Oryctolagus cuniculus: one gene and its partners. The protein of the gene in region 2 interacts with the protein of the main gene of each other region in a pairwise test. Links are inferred from orthologs where the notes say so. Each region holds a gene or a part of one and is shown on either strand. Other genes may lie near its edges.

Region 1 (5,031 bases), on a different chromosome or scaffold from region 2:
TATTCCATGGACTTTTTGAACCCTTGTGTAGATTCTGAGTATTGTCTTCCCCTATTAAAAATGTAAGCCTCATAAAAGATTTGATTTTGTTCCTACCTGAGTCACCATGGCCTACCACAGTGCCTACCACACTGCAGGTTCTCAGTGTTTTCTCAACAAATGAATGGGTATCAGATATGTGGAAGAAAATTCCCACTGATCTTGCCACAAGAACGAACAATGAGTCTCTTCTACATTTACTTGAGGTTAAAACATGAAGTCTACAATGAAACAGAGACAGCAGAGTAGAATTTCCAGCCTACCCAGATGTCTTCAGCAAAAAGAAAACAAAACAAAAAACAACATTGTCCTTACACTTCTGGATTTGCAACAAAGTACTTTTAATAAACTGGCTCCAATTGGTACCTTTCTCTGAAGGGAGGAGAGAACTTCCACTCTGACTACGACCTTGTCTAAATATGATCAGAGTTGGTGAACTCAAAAGGCTTCCATAGCCTTGGCAACTCATGACAAGAGCCTAGGGTGATTACTGAGGCCATAAACAAGAGTGTCAATTTGTTAAGTCAACAACAGGAGTCACTGTGCACTTACTCCTCATGTAGGATCTCTGTCCTTAATGTGCTGCACATTGTGATTTAATGCTATAGCTAGTACTTAAACAGTATTTTTCACTTTGTGTTTCTATGTGGGTGCAAACTGTTGAAATCTTTACTTAATATATGCTAAACTGATCTGTATATAAAGAGAATTGAAAATGAATCTTGATGTGAATGGAAGGGGAGAGGGAGTGGGAAAGGGGAGGGTTGTGGGTGGGAGGGAAGTTATGGAGGGGGGGAAGCCACTGTAATCCATAAGCTGTACTTTGGAAATTTATATTAATTAAATAAAAGTTAAAAATAAATAAATACATAAATAAATAAACTGGCTCCAATTATGGAGAGAGGACATGATTACTAAATCTCATATAACTCTTATGAACAAAATGGAAAAGGAAGAGGGCTCAGCTGCTTAATCCACCACTTGGGACCTGTAAATCCCATACTGGAGTGCCTGGGATTGGAGTCCCAGTTCCTCCACTTCTGACTCAGCCTCCTGCTAATGAGCTGGGAAGGCAGCAGGTTATGGCTCAAGTACTTGGGTCCCTTCCACCCAGGTGGGAAACCTGGATGAAGATTCTAGCTCCTGAATTTGGGAAATGAACCAGTGGATGGAAGAAGGTGTGTGTGTGTGTGTGTGTGTGTGTGTGTCCATCCCCCCACCCCCAGCAAAGTTCAATGCCTAACTAGTTCTTCTTACTAATTACTTAACTAATAAGAAGTATAAACTTTCAAAAGCAGGCTATTTTTCTACACCCTAAGTGTAATTGCATCTCCAAGAAAACAGACCTCAGCAAAAATTTCTTAGCAGTTCCGACCTCAGCCCTTCTCCAACACCAATACCTTTATCTCTCTCCATCATCCCAGAGGCTTCCTGGAGCCCCTGCACTCAAACCAATCAACCTCGAGCCCTCCTAGGTCTAATTATCGGAGCCCACCCAGCGGCATTCCAGCGTTTCCCAGGCCCACCCTCGCCGGCCCACTGGGCGTCCGCTTAACAGGAGGCCCTGCCAACCCAGAGTGCTACAACATCACAGAATCTGGGGGTAGCAGGGACCTCTGAGCAAGGCTAGAACCGGAGGACATCTTAGACTTCATCCCGCGCTGCCAATTTCAGTGTGACCTTGGGCATGCTACTCAACCCTTAGGGGTTCCAGTTTGCTTCCCCTGCAAGGTGAGGGTCACAGCTGGACCAAGTACGGATTTAAAGAAATCACACGTAACGCCCCTGATAGGGCGCCGGGCACCAAACGGCAACTCAATCATCATCTACGGGTAGCCTGCAGTACTGCCCAGCTCTCCCCACACGGTGTCCGAGCTGGAGGGCACCTGACGGGTATGCTACAACCTCCCAGCTGTGCAGAAGGGGACGCCAGCAGGGAAGCACCTGGCCCCGACCACCGCCCAGATGACAGGCGTTGGACCTGGAGCCCAGGACCCCTGTCCCCCAGCCCACTCTCTAGCGCTCGCCCCCAGCCCCGCCTGCCAGGCCGGGGCGCCGCTGCTGGGCGAGGCGCTGCCCGCCGCCCGCGCGGGGTCCACGTTCTCAGCTGCCCGGAGCCGCGCCACCTGCCGCGGGGCCCTGCGCCGGTTCGCTGCTCGGCCCGGCCCAGCCACCCGCCAGCCCCGCAGCCCCGAGCGGCTGCGGCCTCGGCGCGTACTCAACTCTTCACTTTGCCGAAGGTGCCGACGCCCAGCGTGTCCCCCAGAACGTAGTGACCGATCTTCACCCGCCCGTCATGCTTCTGCTTCTCAGCCATCTTCGGCTCGCGCGGCCTCGCTCCGCCGCGGCCCCTCAGCGCGGACGCCGCCGCCGCCGCCGCCGCCTACCCACAGTGCAGCGGGACCCGCGGGGGGCGGGCCGCAGGCGACGAGGGGCGCGGGCGCCGGCGGCCGGGGTCCCGGGAGAGGGCGCGACCGAGTCCGGAGCGGGGAGCCGCGGCCCGGCGTGACCGACGCCTGTGGCGGAGCCGGAGGCGGCGGCGGCCGCGCTGAGGGCGCGGGGCGCAGGCTGGGAGAGAGGGCGGGGCCCAGCCAGGTGCGCGGATGGCAGCGAGGGTCGGCGGGCGGCAGGTGCTGAGAGGGCGGGCGGCGGCGGCGACCCGAGGGCGAGGGTGGCTGGGGGCGCTCTCTGAGGGAGAGCCGAGAGAATGGGACTGTGGGGGTGAGACCTGGATCCGATCTGAGGGAATGGAAAGAGGTGGAAGTCGAATTTGAAGAGAAACAGGCCCAAAGCCCCAAACCGCGATGTGGGCTGGGAGGCGGAGGCCAGGGGCCGGTGCAAAGGGCAGTCGGGGGAGCGCCCCGGGGAAGTTGCCGGGGTCTCGGCTGTTTCTGATCCAGCTATTGGAGCACTCACAGCGGTGCTCTCCTCACTTGTCCTCCTCTGCCTACTTCATCATTCTCACTTGCTTTGTCCTTAGATGGAAGAGAGATCTCAGCTGTAACCGATGTGCAGCTTCCAGTAAATCCCCGTCGCCGTGTTAGCTCGGGTGTTTGATCGCCTGCCTATATACATACACAGTAGGGAAATGATATGTGACAGAGCTGCCCAGGAAGGAATGGTGAGTGCACAGGAAGTAAATTACAAAGGTGTTCCAAAAAGTTCTTGGAGGGACACGGCGCCCCATAGCCGGCCACCGCTCCTGACTCCAGCTTCTTGCTGATGCAGACCCAGGGAGGCCGCAGGATAACTCAGACCCTTGGGACCCTGCCACTCACGTGGGAGACCTGGACTGAATTCCCAGCTCCCCTCCTGGCCCTGGCCCAGCTCTGGCCTTTGTGGAAATTTGGAGAGTGAATCAGCAGATGAGATCTCTCTCTCTCTCTCTCTCCCTCCCTCCCTCCCTCTCCCTCTCTCTCTCTCTCCCTCTCCCTCTCCTTTTCCCTCTCCCTCTCTCTTTCAAATTAATTTTTAACCCCATGGAAGATAAATTTAATTGAAATGTTTACTTTGAAAAACACGTGAATGAGCGGTCTTCATCAAGTTCATGAAAATGTGTATGATGAAAAACTGTGCATGGATTTCAAAGTCTTTGGCACCAAAATAAGCTTGCCTTTTAATTTCATTGTTCCACGAACATTTAAAGTACCCTTGTACATGAAGGACAAAGGAATTGTGAAAAGCAAGGACAGTATAAAGACACAATTTAAAGTATGATAAGTAGAAAAAAATGGTAAGAGGAAATGAGAATCATGATTCCTCCCCCACCACCACCACCACCCCTGCCTGGGGAGGGAATATTAAAAAGAAAGAAAAAAAGAGAGAGAGAAAGAACTAGGTGAAGTGCTGATCTCTTCCATCTCTTCATTCCTTCCCCTCTTTCCTTCCTTTGTTTAATAGTATCCTATTCTTCAATGTTGTCCTATCTTTCAAAATTATTACTATAATTATTTGTTTCTCACCACAAAAACAGCTATTATGACTAATGCATGTGTTACTGGCTTGATGTAGCCATTCCACTATTATATACATTTCAAAACAACATGTTGCATCTGATGTGTGTAAAATTTTCATTTTTCAATGATGTAAAATTTTTAAAGATTAATTTTAAGATTATTTGCTATTTGAAGATGAATTGTTAAAAATTAGTGAGATGCTTTTAGCACTGTGCTTGCTAGTGGAGTTTCAAGGTCACATTCCTCAAGCTTGAAGTCTGTTATACTGCTTACATGTAAAGAATATATTGATCAGAAAGACTAGGTTGTGAAATTTTTTTTTTTTTTTGCTTTCTGAAAAGTAGTAAATATACAAATGGCATCTATTCATTCTTGGCTAGACACCAAGACAATCTGATGAGAGATGAACACCACTTATAAATTACAGATATCGCACCTGTTACACAGAGGCTATTTTCGTTCATTCTTCGGATCATCTTTCTTGCTGACAAGAAGTATCATTTAAGAATCACACTACCTAGCTGGCAATTTTGAGAGCACAACCAGTCATTTTTAATGCTGAACTTTCATTTGGTTCAGGGTCACTCCTTCCGTCCTTCAGTGTTCATTCAGGTGAGCAAGAGAACAAAATTCCTGTTCAGCTTTTGAGCTGTTTCTGTCTTTCATTCTAACATCCATTTCAAACATGTTGAAAACTCTTTACTGAAGTTAGTTTCTTGAAACTTGGTACAAAGAGACCATACATTGAGATTCTTAAAGTACTTTACACTGCCTTAACTAACCATTAATAATTACCAGTTGAATTGTTATGTACTGCATAACTACGATTTTTACACTGCTACTATGAACAACCTTGTAACTTTATACCAAACATATATGATATTTTGTTGGCTAAGAAGTTGTTTTAAACACAATTATTTACTTCTCATAAAAGAAACTTATTATCCCCATTTTATAGATGATAAAACTAGTTTTTCCTTTCTGATTTGCCCAAGGCTAAAAGCTAAGCAGCAGAGAAGCAGAGACAAACTCACAT
Region 2 (5,272 bases):
AAGGATGATAGAAGAAACTCCCCTGCCTTAGTTCTAAAGTACAGGCTGAACCCTCTATGTGAGTTGAACTCTATGTAGGTCTAGACGGGTGGAGAATGTCTGGCCCACAGGCCATGTACGGTCCTCAACATCATTTGGTCAGGCCCCACCAAGGCAATCGCAGTAGAGACTGGAAATTCAAACTGATAGCAGGCTAATTTTTTTTTTTTTTTTGACAGGCAGAGTGGACAGTGAGAAAGAGAGACAGAGAGAAAGGTCTTCCTTTACCGTTGGTTCACCCTCCAATGGCCGCTGCGGCTGTTACGCTGCGGCCCGCGCACTGCGCTGATCCGATGGCAGGAGCCAGGTACTTATCCTGGTCTCCCATGGGGTGCAGGACCCAAGTACTTGGGCCATCCTCCACTGCACTCCCGGGCCATAGCAGAGAGCTGGCTTGGAAGAGGGGCAACTGGGACAGAATCCGGCACCCCGACCGGGACTAGAACCTGGTGTGCCAGCGCTGCAAGGCGGAGGATTAGCCTAGTAAGCTGCGGCGCCGGCCCGCAGGCTAATTTTTAAGTTGGTACTTTTGCATGGCCCACAAATGATGTTTATATATATATATATGTATATATGTATACATGTATATGTGTGTGTGTATATATATATCTCCAAATGGCTCTTGGCAGAAAAAAAAGGTCCCTCACCACTGGTGAATGTGGAGTGGACTGGGGTGGGCCGGGGTGAGGGGGAGAAGCCTCGGCTGATGGTGAGAGTCCCATGTTTTGCAGGACAGTCCCCTGCCAGCCCTTCCAGGGACTAACACTGGAGAATGTGATGCCTGTCATCTGCCCTTTGCACGGCTCAGACATTAGCAGGGCTGACCAGAGGCACGCTCGCCCTACAGCTGGAGGCCCTGCAGGTGCAGCGTCCTCCCTGTCACAGACCTTCACCACTGGAGGAGCTGCAGCAACACGCCAACATCGTCACAGGTTTTTCTAAAACTTGGGGAAAAAAAAAACACCCCAAACTGGAATTGACTGGTATCTCCTTCTTGACTTGACCTCTGTCACATGTCCCTTTCTCAGGTGTCCACAGAGAGGTGATGGGCACTTGGAGACTGGCTGAGGGAGCTGAGGAGGGATCACGTGTACTGTGGGGTTAGTAGGTATACTTGATGGGTTTTGCAGTTACTTCTGTGAATAGAATCAATTATCCCCAGGTGGATACAGTGTTATGGATTAAACTGTGTCCTCCCAAACTTAGGGTTAATGTCCTGTCCCCCAGTACCTCAGAACGTAGCTTCGTGTGGAGTTAGGTTGTTTCTCGAGGTGATTAAGTTCAGCTGAGATGGATGAATTAGGGTGGGTCCTAACACAGTGTGACTGCTGACCTTCCACGAGGAAATCTGGGCACAGACTTGTGATGCACAGGCAGAGGGAAGACCATGAGCAGACAGCCTTCTACAATCAAGGACAGAAGCCTCAGGATGCAGTCAGCTCAGCCAGTGCCCTTGTCTTGGACCTCTAGTCTCCAGGACTGAGAAAACAAATTTAGCACACACCCAGTCTCTGCTATTTTTGTATGGCAGCCCTGAAAAATTAAATTACTTATATGTTTTAAAAATGTGTATTTACTGCCATTTTATTTGAAAGTCAGAAAGAGAGATCTTCCCTCTGCTGGAACACTCCTGAAATGCCTCAATAGCCAGCACTGGGCTAGGCCAAAGCCGGGAGCCCAGAACTCAATCTAGGCTGGCAGGCAACCAAGGACTTGAGCCATCACCCGCTGCCTCCTAGTGTGTGCATTAGCAGGAAGCTGGATCAGGGATGGAGGAGCCTAGAGGAGCTGGGACTCCAAACAAGCACTCTGATGCAAGACGGGAGTGTCTCGGCTGCTGACTTAACTTCTGAGCCAAATGCCTGCCTGTATGTTTATTTCCATTTTTTATTTGAAAGGCAGAGATCAAGCTGAGACCAGGAGCACAGAACTCAATCCAGGTTTCCCATGTGGGTGGCAAGGATCCAAGCACCTGAACCACCACTGCTGCTACCCAGAGTGTGCATCAGTGAGAAGTTGTATTGGAAGCAGAGTCAGGACTTGAACCAAGCACTCCCATACAAGTTGCAGGTGCCCCAAGCAGCATCCTAAGCACTGTGCTACAAATGTGCCTGCCCCCAAACTAATATTTATAGTTCCCATTATTCTTTTTTTTTTTTTTTTTTTTTTTGACAGGCAGAGTGGACAGTGAGAGAGAGACAGAGAGAAAGGTCTTCCTTTTGCCGTTGGTTCACCCTCCAGTGGCCGCTGCGGCCGGCGCACCACGCTGATCCAAAGCCAGGAGCCAGGTGCTTCTCCTGGTCTCCCATGGGGTGCAGGGCCCAAGCACTTGGGCCATCCTCCATTGCACTCCCTGGCCACAGCAGAGAGCTGGCCTGGAAGAGGGGCAACCGGGACAGAATCCGGCGCCCTGACCAGGACTAGAACCCAGTGTGCCGGTGCCACAGGCGGAGGATTAGCCTAGTGAGCTGCGGCGCCGGCTAGTTCCCATTATTCTTGATACTATCAATTCAGAATATATGACATTAGCCATTACAAATTCGAAAAGCTCCAAAATTTTATAGTGGTTTTACCAAGTTTGACAAAAATTCTAAACATTTATGAAAGTATCACAAGGCATGGGGGCAAAATTTTTTAAAATTAACAATACAAAAGTGATCATGTTAGAAGACTCATAGAAAACATACAATCATTATACGAAAAGGCTATCAAAGGCTGTTGGCAAAAAAAGTGGAAATATGAATAATTTTAGGCAGATATTTGGCAGCTTTTTAAAAAATTGTAATTTGTCATTCTGAAAATATCATAATTTTGTATTTAATTTTCTTAAAGGGGCTCCAAAAGTTGCATACTTCAGGTACCCAGAAGCCTGGCTCCAGCCTAGGACTACCAGATGGCCATGGTGAGTCTCTGCCTCCTTAGGGGAACTCTGCTCCAGTGCTCGTGCCCTGTCTCCTAGAAAGACCAGAGCCGCAGGCAGTGAGGCGGCCGACTACTCAGACCTGCGAGTACTGAGGCTTGGAGACAGAGTTGGGAGAGCGAAAGTTAACGCGGAAGGAGTTTGTGGCAGGAGGAGCTCAAACCTACCCCAGAAGACGTGAGGAGTCTGTGCAGGGCTTGGGGCTCCGACTCCAGGCAGGAAGCCGTGGAGAGAAGCCCTGGAAAGCCCCGCCTTACCTCTCCGTGGGTGTTTGCTCCTCATGCTGACCCTGCCCTTCAGCACTCTTAGAGCACACTGAAGAGCGGTGGGCTGGGCAGCGATGACGTCACAGGTCGGCCTTTGTGATGTAAGGAGGAGCTATCAGGCATTCCGTGCTTGGGGCTTGCCTCCTAGGAATGCTGTCACCTCATTACTTTGTGGTAATTGGATTCTCTCATCACTCAGGTGATGTGGGAGCCAATCCTGTGAGAACTTGCTCTTTCAAGGACTCCCTCTGTTATCTATTTCTATCCCTCCATTCTGGATTCCACAGAGGTCTTGCCTTCCTTTCCCCTCCGTTAGCTGTCTTACCCTTTGTTTTAGGGTAACCCCTTATTAGGGAAGGGCATTGTTCTTCCCTCCACTACTCAAGAGCAGAAAGTAACGAGATGACCCCCTAAAAGAGGAAGAATCCCCTGTGAAAAGCAGAAACAGTTTTCCCAGACTGTTCCTTTAACAACACCAACAGCTGGTGCTGGGTGCCAGGGAACTGAAGAGCCAGGCCCTGACTATGCTCCCACTACCCAAAAGGGTGGAGGGATCCTGTTGTGGTGTCTTAAACCATGGCTGCCCATCTCTCCCGTGGTCTTCTTCCATGCAACTTCCAAACAGCCAGAGGACTCCAGCAGAAAAGGAATAGGACTTTTTAAGATTTATTTATTTGAAAAGCAGAGTTACACAGAGAAGAGAAAAAAAAGAGAGAGAGATCTTCCATCTGCTGGTTCACTCTCCAAATGGCTTCAATGGCCTGGGCTGGCCCAGACTAGACAGGAATCTGGAACTCCATCCAAGTCTTCCATGGGGGTGGCACAGACCCAAACATTTGGGCCATCTTTGGCTGCTTTCCCAGGTGTATTAGCAGGGACCTGGATTAGAAGTGGAGTAGGCGGGACTCAGACTGGTGCTCATAGGGGATGATGGCATCACAGGCAGTAGATTAACCTGCTGCGATATGCCAGCAGCCCCGGAGCAGGACTTTTAGGAAATGACCAGGCTAGCATTTGTCTTAGTGGTCGACGCTGCTTGGGACGACCACATCCCATACTGGAGTGCTAGGTTCAGGTCCTGGCTTTGCTCCAGATTCCAGCTAATGAGCACTGTGGGAAACAGCAGTGGATGGCTCAAGTAGCTAGGTCCTCACCCTCCATGTGGGAGACCTGGATTAGGTTCTCAGTTCCTGGCTTCAGCCTGGGCCAACCTTGGCTATTGTGGAGATTTGAGGAGTGAACCAATGGACAGGAGCTGTCTCTCAAGGAAGGAAGGAAGGAAGGAAGGAAGGAAGGAAGGAAGGAAGGAAGGAAGGAGAAGGAAGGAAGGAAGGAAGGAAGGAAGGAAGGAAGGAAGGAAGGAAGGAAAGAAAGAAGGAAAGAAGGAAAGAGAGAGAGAGAAAGAAAGAGAAAGAGAAAGAAAGAGAGAGAGAAGGAAAGAGAGAGAGAAGGAAAGAAAGAGAAAGAGAGAAAGAAAGAAGGAAAGAAAGAGAGAGAAAGAGAGAAAGAGAGAGAAAGAGAGAAAGAGAGAGAGAGAAGGAAAGAAGGAAAGAGAAAGAGAGAAAGAAAGAAGGAAAGAAAGAGAGAGAGAGAGAGAAAGAGAAAGAGAGAGAAGAGAGAGAAGGAAAGAAGGAAAGGAAAGAGAGAAAGAAAGAAAGAAGGAAAGAAAGAGAGAAAGAGAGAGAGAGAGAAAGAGAGAGAGAGAGAGAAAGAGAGAAAGAAAGAGAAAAAGAAAGAAAGAGAGAGAGAGAAAGAGGAGTGAGGGTTTAGGAAGGGAATCTTGCATCTAGACTTCTTGCCACCCTCAGCCCCAAACAAAGAATACTTCTGAGTGTTTTATGATGTACTTTGTTTTCATATTTCAACTTTATTTCAAATATAAGGTTGAATATCCAGAAGGGAGGGCAGCTGCATGAGGAAGCTCAAGTGACACACAATAGTAGCAGTGGTCTGGGGCCCAGGGCACAGCGCTGCCCTGTGAAGGAGCTGGGGAGGCTCTGGAAGCACCTGGTGAGAAGTGGTTTTCCATGGTTCACGCAGCGCTTCC
Region 3 (4,693 bases), on a different chromosome or scaffold from region 2:
GACACGACAAGCAAGCAGAGAAGGGCCGCCTCCATAGGAGTGTCCCTCTCTGGACCCGGCTTTGCTCTGCAAGCCCAAACAGAAACACCTGACCCAGCACCCTCTGGGAAAAGCAACCTTTGATTCAACAAGCTGTAGCTCAGGGATGATTACCATGGTCCTAGCCACACACCGTCAGCCCCCCGGAAGTGTGAGGAGGGGAGGCAGCCAGGACAGTGCCTTCCCCTCTCACCGGGAAGCAACGCCAGCTCCAAGCGAGAGTCGGGTGGCTCGGTGCCGAAGGGAGCCGGGCCATTCGGCCATCCGTTTCCAGGATGAGGAAGCGTCCTCCGTCACTCGTGGAAGCCTTTCAGCGTCACTGGGGCCTGGAACCAGATGTAATCGTCCGAAGCCACTGTTGGGTCGGAAGGCCTGCCGCAGGACAGGCTCACGGTCAGTTTGTGGCCGCGGCTGGGCACGCGGTAGTTGAGCTTGGGTCGAAACCAATCTTCTCCACAGTCACGGTGCCCCTGAGCCATGACGATGGTGCCCATGAGCGGTGGGGCCTGCAGCTCGCTAAAGGCGTCAGCCAGGAAAATGGCCCGGAAGAGCCGGCGCAAACAGGCTGCTGTATTCAGGCTCTGGTCCACACTGTAGGGAGCCAGCCGGGACAGGTCAAGTTCGTAGAACTCCTTGGGGCTTAGGGCACTGCCCCCAAGGAGGATCAGCACTCGTGGTACCAGGGTTCGGGCAAAGAGGCCCTCCAGGTGACTGAAGACACTCTCCAGTTCCGCCAGGGCTTGTTGGCATTTCCTGCTGCTGGCCTCGGCAGCCGTCCGCGGCTTCTTCCTCACCACGTCTTCTGCCTGTGACAACAAAGCTTGGTGAGACAGAGAGACAAGGTAGGGGAAGCTAATGCCTTTTAAAGAACCCTGTGAGGGGCGATGGCGCTGTGGTGCAGTGGGTTAATGCCCTGGCTTGAAGCACCGGCATCCTAAATGGGTGCCGGTTCTAGTCCCAGCTGCTCCTCTTCTGATCCAGCTCTCTGCTGTGGCCTGGGAAAGCAGTGGAGGATAGCCCAAGTGCTTGGGCCCCTACACCCAAGTGGGAGACCTGGAAGAAGCTCCTGGCTCCTGGATTTGGATCAGCTCAGCTCCAGCTGTTGCGGCCCACTGGGGAGTGAACCATCAGATGGAAAACCCCTCTCTCTCTCTGCCTCTCCTTTTCTCTCTGTGTAATGCTGACTTTCAAATAAATAAATAAATCTTAAAAAAAAAAAAAAGTGGGGGGCGGGGGCGGCGGCACTGTGGCATACTAGGTTAAGCATCTGCCTCCGGAGCTGGCATCTCATATGGGTACCAGTTCTGGTCCCAGGAGCTCCACTTCTGATTTGGCTCCCTGCTGATGGCCTGGGAAAGCAATAGAAAATGGCTCAAGAGCTTGGGCCCCCAGCACCCACATGGGAGCCCCAGAAGAAGCTCCTGGCTCCTGGCTCCGATCAGCCTAGCTCCAGCTCTTGCAGCCATTTGGGAAGTGAAACAGATGAAAGACCTTTCTCTCTCTCTCCCTCTCTCTCTTAACTCTGTTTCTCAAGTAAATAAATAAATCTTAAAAAGACTGAACGTCTAGCTCAATGAATGTCATCGCCACATCACTGGGCTTTATCAACATCACAGCAAAAAGTGAAATCTACTCTTTGTGCCATAGTTCTCCCACCCTTCCAACAGCCAAGAGAGCGGCCAGATATAAGAAGCTAAGATAGCCAAGGAAATTTGGTGGCATGCCACAAAGCAGTCAATTTTTGCTGGGGTATATATGTATGTATGTATGTGTATATATATATATGTATATATATATGTATATATATATGAGAGCAAAATAAACTCATTTTGGGGGGAAAAAGAGCAAAGAGCATATGCGAAAGTTAAGAACTCTTAACAATGATTGCCAAAAAAAAAGAATAAGTTGTATTGGTGTTGGAATATAAAGTCAAAGAACTCCCCCATCAAGGAAAAACCAAACATGAAAATTTGGAGAAAAGAAACTAAAATGTAAAGGCTCAACTCTTCGAGTCCAAAAGCAACACTTAATAGGGGTTTCGGGAGAAGACAGCAAGAGGGAAAAAACCAGAGAGGGTCACCCCGCTGAAGACGCGAGCGCGGAGCCAGCGCCGCCGACTGTCCCTGCAGATGGCTCGGATCCCCGTTCCACCTGCTCGCCAGGCAAGAGCCGCGACGTCTCCCCCCCGTAGCCCGTGCCTACCTGGGGAGAAGGTTTTCGGTAGAAGTGCTTCAGCTGTTCGTAGGGCAGAGGCAGCTGCTGGCGCTGGTACATGATGTGCTTGAGCAGTTCACAAGTAAAGCGGCAGCAGCCTTCCCGGCTCACCGGCCCGGGAAACACCACCGGCACCATGCAGTCTCTCGGGCAGCAGTGCTCCGCAGAGCCGGGAGCCTCGGGGGCAGAGGCAGTCTCCGGCAGTTCCACCGGGGAGCCGTGAATTTCTTCCGACTGGTCAAACCACTCCAGATCTAGGACACAAGAGAGGGAAATGAGACACAAGCCAGGGTCGGGCTTCGCATTCCCTGCGGCCACCACGCACACCCCGACGCCGCAGATACCCTAGTGCGTACGTGCGGGATTCCTGACCCCCGCGGCCGTACATGACTAAGTGGCCGATACGAGAGAGATTCCCGGTCAGTGACTGAGGCTCTACTCAGAAATCGGGCTCCTGACCCAGGGAAAAGAGGGCGAGGCGCAGTCTCATCGGAGAGCGGACGAACCCGGAGCTCGGAACCAGAAGGACCAGAGGCGCGGTGATAGGACAGGACGGCAGTAGGGAAGAAACAGGGCCCCGAGGAGCCGCAAGCCCGGGCCCCCATGCCTTACCAGTGCCTGCGGCCGGCGACGGGATTTCCGGCTCCGGGGCCGCCATCGCGACCTCCTCCCTCAGCTCCGTGCGTTAGAATGATCGGCCCGCGGAGCGTCATGGGAAGCCCTCTCCACTTCCGGCTCGGCCGGAAGGGGGCGCGGCGCCACCGCCCTGGGGCGGGGTCGGGGGTGGAGCCCGCGCTGGCACCCTTAGCCCTCCGGCTACCGCGAGCCCAGGCGCTCGCGGCCACCCGCCCTCTAGCAGCCATTCATTCTTGGGTTCATTACTTTCTTCACGCCGGGCCCTGTCCTCGGTGCTGGAGGCTCCGCCGGGGACAAGCCCGGCGCGGGCCCTGCCGTCGAGGGGGGCACTGCCTATGCGTACAGTGCAATGGGATGCGTTGATACAGTGGGGTATACAAGGGCTGGGGGAGGGAAGAACTGGGGCGCCTAACCCAGAGCGGGTTGGGGCAGGGGTACGTGGTTCCAGAAGAAATGTGTGAAGATGTTGTGACCTTGTCAGTTAGCAAGGTAAAGAGGAGACCCCAAGAGACAAGAACATCATCCCCTGTTCAAGGAATGAAGAATTCCTAAAGCGCTGGGGCGTGGAGGAGACAGGATCATGACAGGATCTTCTAAGCTTTGATAGGCTTTGAACTCGATCCCCCGTAGGGAGGTAGGGAAGCTGTTTATAAGTAGGGGAAGTGACATGATTATGTTCACATCTTTCCCGTTTAATCTCCCTGCTGGCTGCACTGTAGAAGTTGGATTACAGGGAGGATAAAAGACAGGGACAGGGGTTCTAGTTCGAGGTAGTGCTGAGACAGAACGGAACCAGGGTAGTGGCAGGGGAGGGAGAGAACTGGGTGAGTCCTGGAGATACAAAGGGGCCCAATGAGCATAAATTAGTAGTTGATCCGAGGAAACAGACTGTCCAGGCTGGCGTTATAGTGCGGTGGGTTAAGCCACTGTCTGCAGTGCCGTATCATATATGGGCACCGGTTCAAATCCTGGATGCTCCGCTTCTGATCCAGCTCCCTGCTAATGTGCATGGCCCAAGATGGCCCAAGTGCTTGGGCCCCTGCACCCACGTGGGAGACCTGGAAGAGGCTCCTGGCTTCGGCCTGGCCTAGTCCAGGCTGTTGCAGCAGTTTGGGGAATGAACCAGTACTTGGAAGATCTCTTCTGCCTCTCCCTCTCTGTCTGTAACTCTGATAAACCAATCAATCAGTCAGTCTATAAAAAAGAAAAACCAGCAGGGTTGTGACTCCAGCAACTGAATTACTAGGCGCTCCATTCGATGAAAGATGGAGCAATAAACGAGGACCAGATCTACTAGGAGGTGAGAAGAAAAGATGAAACCTGCTTTTGATGGGCTGGGTTCAGTGTCACCACAGGACAGTGAATAGAGACATTTAGAAACACCATTTGGGACAGACAGCCATTAGTATGGGAGTGGATAGGATCACTCTGGGAGGCTGCAGAGTAAGTTGGGCAAGGTGGGTTAAGCCAGCAGCCCATAGGGGTATGTTTGAGTCCTGGCTGCTCCACTTCTGATCCAGCTCTCGACTATGGCCTGGGGAAGCGGTAGAAGATGGCCCAAGTCCTTGGGCCCTTGCACCCACATGGGAAACCCTGAAGAAGCTTCTGGCTCCCAGCTCCTGGCTTCGGATTGGTCCACTGCTGCCATTTGGAGAGTTAACCAGTGGATGGAAGGATTCTCTCTCTGCCGGCCCCTCCCCCACTTTTTAAAAAATATATTTATTTATTTGAAAGATAGAATTGGGCTGGCACCGTGGCTCACTAGGCACACTGGGTTCTAGTCCCAGTCGGGGCGCCGGATTCT
Region 4 (4,722 bases), on a different chromosome or scaffold from region 2:
TACTTCTGTATTTCTATGAAAAATACATAAATAAAAGGAACTCGAACTCCCTATAACACACTTAATTAAAAGTGAAAGCAAAAACCACAGTTTCAAGCATATATTTACAAATCTACGAAACATTCATAGTGATTAAAGCAAAAGTAACAGTACTGGCTTACCATTGGTTTACCATAAAATGGAAATCCTTGTAACTGTCTCAAAGCATTTGTGGATGAGCCCAGTTCCTTAAAAATAACAAAGGCCTGCCCTCTCATCTTCATGGTCTTTAAAGCCACAATATCTACCACATGGCCAAACTGAGAAAATAGGGCATACAGGGATCTCTTCAATTCTGTCCAAATAAGAGGGGAAATAACTTGTGAACGAAGGAATGAGAAAATTCTTCATTAAATGACAGTACATTGAGTGCTCTGTCACCATTTATTTATACAGTTAGTAGTTATATATGTAAGTAAAAACACAAATTGCTATTCCCATTGGTTATCTAACGTAAAAAGTTATTTGAAACCATTATATGAGTAGCTATGAGTAAGAACAGATTCAGCATGTTGTCAGTCACTACCTATTTTTGTTTTTAAAAAGCCTGGAAATCCTTACACAAACTTTATAAATTTATTACTGGAGGCCGGCACCGCGGCTCACTAGGCTAATCCTCCGCCTTGGGGCGCCGGCACACCGGGTTCTAGTCCCAGTCAGGGAGCCAGATTCTGTCCCGGTTGCCCCTCTTCCAGGCCAGCCCTCTGCTGTGGCCAGGGAGTGCAGTAGAGGATGGCCCAGGTGCTTGGGCCCTGCACCCCATGGGAGACCAGGAAAAGCACCTGGCTCCTGGCTCCTGCCATTGGATCAGCGTGATGCGCCGGCCGCGGCGGCCATTGGAGGGTGAACCAACGGCAAAAGGAAGACCTTTCTCTCTGTCTCTCTCTCTCTCACTGTCCACTATGCCTGTCAAAAAAAAAAAAAAAAAAAAATTTATTACTGGAGGTAAGAAAAATGAGTTTGGGTGTAGTACAATTTTGTAAGATGGTAGTAAACAAACACATTTTAGTTATCAATAAGTATTTTTAAAAACACTTACCTTCTTTTTTAATTTTGTCATTCATATTATTAATATAAATTGTATGATTTGGTCTGATATCCATGTCTGAGTTAAAATGTTCAAATAGCCTAAAGAGAGGATAAAAAAAAAAAAAAAAAACTGTTACAAACAGGTGTGATTAAATCAATACAGCAGAAAGCTGTTGGCTTTTCCGTTTTCTTTCAATCGCTATGTCAGAATGTCAGTTGGGTCATAGACTCTCTCTCCAGCAATAGCTAGTCCTCCTCTGTATTTCTGTTTGAGAGGCAAACGCACACACAGCCAGAGGCAGACAATGAGCTCCAAAGCTCTGCTTCACGTCCCAAATGCCCAGCTGTGGCCCAGCTCGACTGAGGTCAAGTGAAGCTAGAGGCTCCTCAATCCAGGTGTCCCACGTGTGTGCAAGAACCCAATCACTTGAGCCACCACTGCTGTCTCTCAGGTCTGCATTAGCGGAAGCCGGAGTCAGGAGCGAGAGCCGGAACTCAAGCCCAGGCACTCTGACATGGGGCAGACATCTTAACTGCTACATCAGATGCAAACCGCAAGCCCTCATTTTTACAATTCTCAAGCTCAAAATTTAGTGAAACAACAGCAGCTTGCCAGAGTTTAATAAAATTGTATTCAATACATTTTTATACTTTCCTTTCACTTGTGCTACTTCCCATCTGCCTAATGAAGTAACTTGTATTTGTAAGCTGGTTTAAAAATTTTGACATAAAGAAAAATGAAAAAGAAACTACCAAGTGTACAATCCAGAACAAATCGTTAAGACAGAACATCAATGTAGTTTGTTCCTGGGTGCACTTACAAAGCACTTCCATATCTATCAATCACTGTGCATAAATTTCCACCTGCCATCTTCACTCCAGGATGACCTCTAACAGACTTGGCAAAGACCTTAATCTCTCAGGTCTTCATCTGTCAGACGGGGCTGAGGTGGGGGCGGGGCTGGCCAGAGCCCCCGAAGTTCTAGCACAGCTCTTGCATCAGAAGCCCCCAAAGGAGCTAATATCATGGCTGTTACAAGTCAGGGAGCACGCTTGAGGTCACACAGCTCTTGATCAGAAGGCCTGGGAATTCCGTCCTTGCAACCCACTGGACGATTTCCACACTTCACGTGGTTTTTAAGTTGCCAAGTGTGACCTTGCTTTACTTCCCTGGATGGCCCACAGATAATTAGGTACTAAACACTGCTTGCTGTGTTTACACACAGCGAGGGAGGAGCCTATAGACCGATGTACTTGTGCAGGTGGCAGATGAATAGAAACGTTTCTTAAAGACTCGACATTTCCCCAGTCGAAACCTGGAAGAGGAGCAGGGGGTCGCCAAGTTTTGACCATGAGAAGGGAGCGAGAGAGATTAAAGTGAAGGCGAGGAGAACAAGAGACCAAGAAGCTCGGTGCTGGGCTAATCAGAGCAGGGCACCTGGTGTCGCACCTCTCCCCTCCGCCAAAACAGAAACAACAGATCCGCAGGAAACCACCTGGAATCTCCCACGCCTCGCATTAACGGGCGTACTCTGTACGCGCCAGCTTCCTGCCTCTCCAGACACAGACTCTCTGCCCCGGGGCCACGCCGCGATCCAAGGACCGCGCCAGTCCCGCCAGAGACGCGCGCCGCTGCTAAGCTCCCCTGCATGGCCGCTCCCTCGTCTCAAACCGACCCCTCCACAAAACCAAGGCGAGACGCCACCCGACCACACCTCGCGCCTCGTACTGTTCGGGCTGAGCAGCGTGAAGAACCGCAAAACCGAGGAAAACGGGAATCCGACTCACCAGAGGACTACGCCGTTCCCACGAGCAACCGGAAGCCGGAAACGGTGCCGAAGGCGGAAGTGACAATGAAACTCCTCAATCGAGCGCCGACAAGTCGAGAAGCCCAGCGCCGAGTCGATCGATGCCTCCCGGTCTCCCGCGGCCCCAAGCTGGGGAACTCTCTGCGCATGCGCCTACGTGCTCTGCTGAAAGAGGGCCCGGGAAAACGGAAGAGGGTTGAGAGAACTGGATAGAACCCTGGGGCCATGCTGTGAGGTAATAAAAAAGAGTGGTTCATTTACCCCCACTAAGACTGAGGGAGGTTTTAACTCACATAGCAGTTCCCTCTACCTTTCTGAATCCTATGTGAGGTTTGCGGGCGCAGCCCCTCCTGCTGGTTTCACCCCTTCTATGGGTCAGCCTCACCTTTAGGACAGCCTATACTGCTGCCAGGGGTTCTGAGGTAGCTCCTCAACACTCTGCTGATGAGCTTAACTCTGAGAGGCAGAGCTGGAGTCGGAGGCCCTGGAGCAGAGACTGAGTGGGGTGTGCCTTTAACATCTACCTAAACTCACTCAAAACACCACAAAACACTTGAGTTCCCGACACCCTTCTCACTGCACTCCCCGCAGATGCTTAGATTTTTCTGGAGATAACTTAAGGTGTTAGTGAATGGAAATTCAAAACCGTGCATTTGGTCATTCGTTCATCCGTCATCTGAGACGTGCTAAGAGCCACCTGGAATAGGAAGGCTTTAGGAGTCAAAGCAAAGGGCCCCATGGCTTGGGACGTTGCGTGGGGCTCCAGCGTCCCGTATTTGTGTCCAGGCTGCTCTGCTCCTGATCCGGCTTCCTGCGGATGCATCCTGTCCTGGGAGGCAGCAGCTGAGGGCTCAGGTACTTGGGGCTCTGCAAGCCACCTGGGAGACCAGAATGGAGTTCCAGACTCCTAGCTTCAGCCTGGCCCAGCCCCCGGCCTTGTGGCCAGTTGGTGAGTGAATCAGTGGATGAAAGAGCTCTGTCTCTCTCTGCTTTGCAAATAAATAAGTCAAAAAAATTTTTTTAAAGAAGCCAAAGTAAATCTAACCTTGTGTCTTCCTCTTAACTAAATCTCTCTTTCTCTTTCCTTGCCTATGTAACAGGAATCTTAATAGTACCTTCTTATCACTCTGGGGACTAAATGGGTGCTCTGTAAAATGATTAGAACATTACACAAAGTCACTGGTTCCTAAATGTTACCTCTAGACTCTAACTATGACTTGGAGGTATGGATGAAGGTGGTAGGGGCCAAATAGTTTGATTTTATCACCTGAGGAGTTTTATTTTAAGAGTCAACATAAAGTTGCAACAACTTAAAAATAATGTAAGTACTTTGAAGGTGGGGATTTTTGTCTGTTTTGTTCATTTAAAAACCTTCAGTAATTAAAAGAGTCCCTTGTATTCAGTAAATATGCATTGCGTGAATAAATGAATGAAGCCTCATGGAAAGTAAGGCAACACTGAAACAAGTGTGATATCTTATTAAGATGCACAGTGGTGTAGGAAATAAGGTTACATGATCACTGGAAAGCATTCCCTTATGATATATATAGAAATTCTAGAAGAAACGTGTCCTGTCTCACTTTATTTGTGGGGGCAGGTATTGTGATGCAGCAGATTCAACCACTTCTTGGGAAACCCGGATGCCCTATCAGTGTGCTGGTTGGAGTCATGGCTGCTCCTCTTCCCATCCAGCTTCCTGCTGATGCACCCTGGAAGAAAGCAGATGATGGCTCCAATGCTTGGGCTTCCTCCTAGTGCAGCCCTGGAGACTGTAGCCATTTTGGAAGTAAATCAGTGGATGGAAGATCTGTCTATCTTTCAAATAGATAAATATTTTTTAAAATTT

What was found. The genes of interacting proteins can lie anywhere in the genome.
Region 1: the proteins of HOMEZ (region 2) and PRKAA2 interact in binary tests that used the Homo sapiens proteins (3 or more experiments, as listed by UniProt). The two-hybrid records come from large-scale screens. The link is inferred for Oryctolagus cuniculus from reciprocal best matches to the Homo sapiens genes HOMEZ and PRKAA2.
Region 3: the proteins of HOMEZ (region 2) and MAD2L1BP interact in binary tests that used the Homo sapiens proteins (3 or more experiments, as listed by UniProt). The two-hybrid records come from large-scale screens. The link is inferred for Oryctolagus cuniculus from reciprocal best matches to the Homo sapiens genes HOMEZ and MAD2L1BP.
Region 4: the proteins of HOMEZ (region 2) and SNRPB2 interact in binary tests that used the Homo sapiens proteins (3 or more experiments, as listed by UniProt). The two-hybrid records come from large-scale screens. The link is inferred for Oryctolagus cuniculus from reciprocal best matches to the Homo sapiens genes HOMEZ and SNRPB2.

The regions. Positions count from the first base shown.
Region 1 is NC_091438.1:116,548,072-116,553,102, forward strand, and holds the start of PRKAA2 (5'-AMP-activated protein kinase catalytic subunit alpha-2), read right to left. Parts: upstream 3,008-5,031; 5' UTR 2,357-3,007; coding exon 2,263-2,356; intron 1-2,262. UniProt on the Homo sapiens protein: Catalytic subunit of AMP-activated protein kinase (AMPK), an energy sensor protein kinase that plays a key role in regulating cellular energy metabolism.
Region 2 is NC_091443.1:51,743,677-51,748,948, reverse strand, and holds the start of HOMEZ (homeobox and leucine zipper protein Homez), read right to left. Parts: upstream 3,277-5,272; 5' UTR 3,242-3,276; coding exon 3,127-3,241; intron 1-3,126. UniProt on the Homo sapiens protein: May function as a transcriptional regulator.
Region 3 is NC_091436.1:126,439,680-126,444,372, forward strand, and holds the start of MAD2L1BP (MAD2L1-binding protein), read right to left. Parts: upstream 3,008-4,693; 5' UTR 2,912-3,007; coding exon 2,866-2,911; intron 2,508-2,865; coding exon 2,242-2,507; intron 846-2,241; coding exon 333-845; 3' UTR 1-332. UniProt on the Homo sapiens protein: May function to silence the spindle checkpoint and allow mitosis to proceed through anaphase by binding MAD2L1 after it has become dissociated from the MAD2L1-CDC20 complex.
Region 4 is NC_091442.1:41,759,985-41,764,706, reverse strand, and holds the start of SNRPB2 (U2 small nuclear ribonucleoprotein B''), read right to left. Parts: upstream 3,008-4,722; 5' UTR 2,857-3,007; exon of another isoform or gene 2,784-2,856; intron 1,168-2,783; 5' UTR 1,143-1,167; coding exon 1,079-1,142; intron 335-1,078; coding exon 162-334; intron 1-161. UniProt on the Homo sapiens protein: Involved in pre-mRNA splicing as component of the spliceosome. Associated with sn-RNP U2, where it contributes to the binding of stem loop IV of U2 snRNA.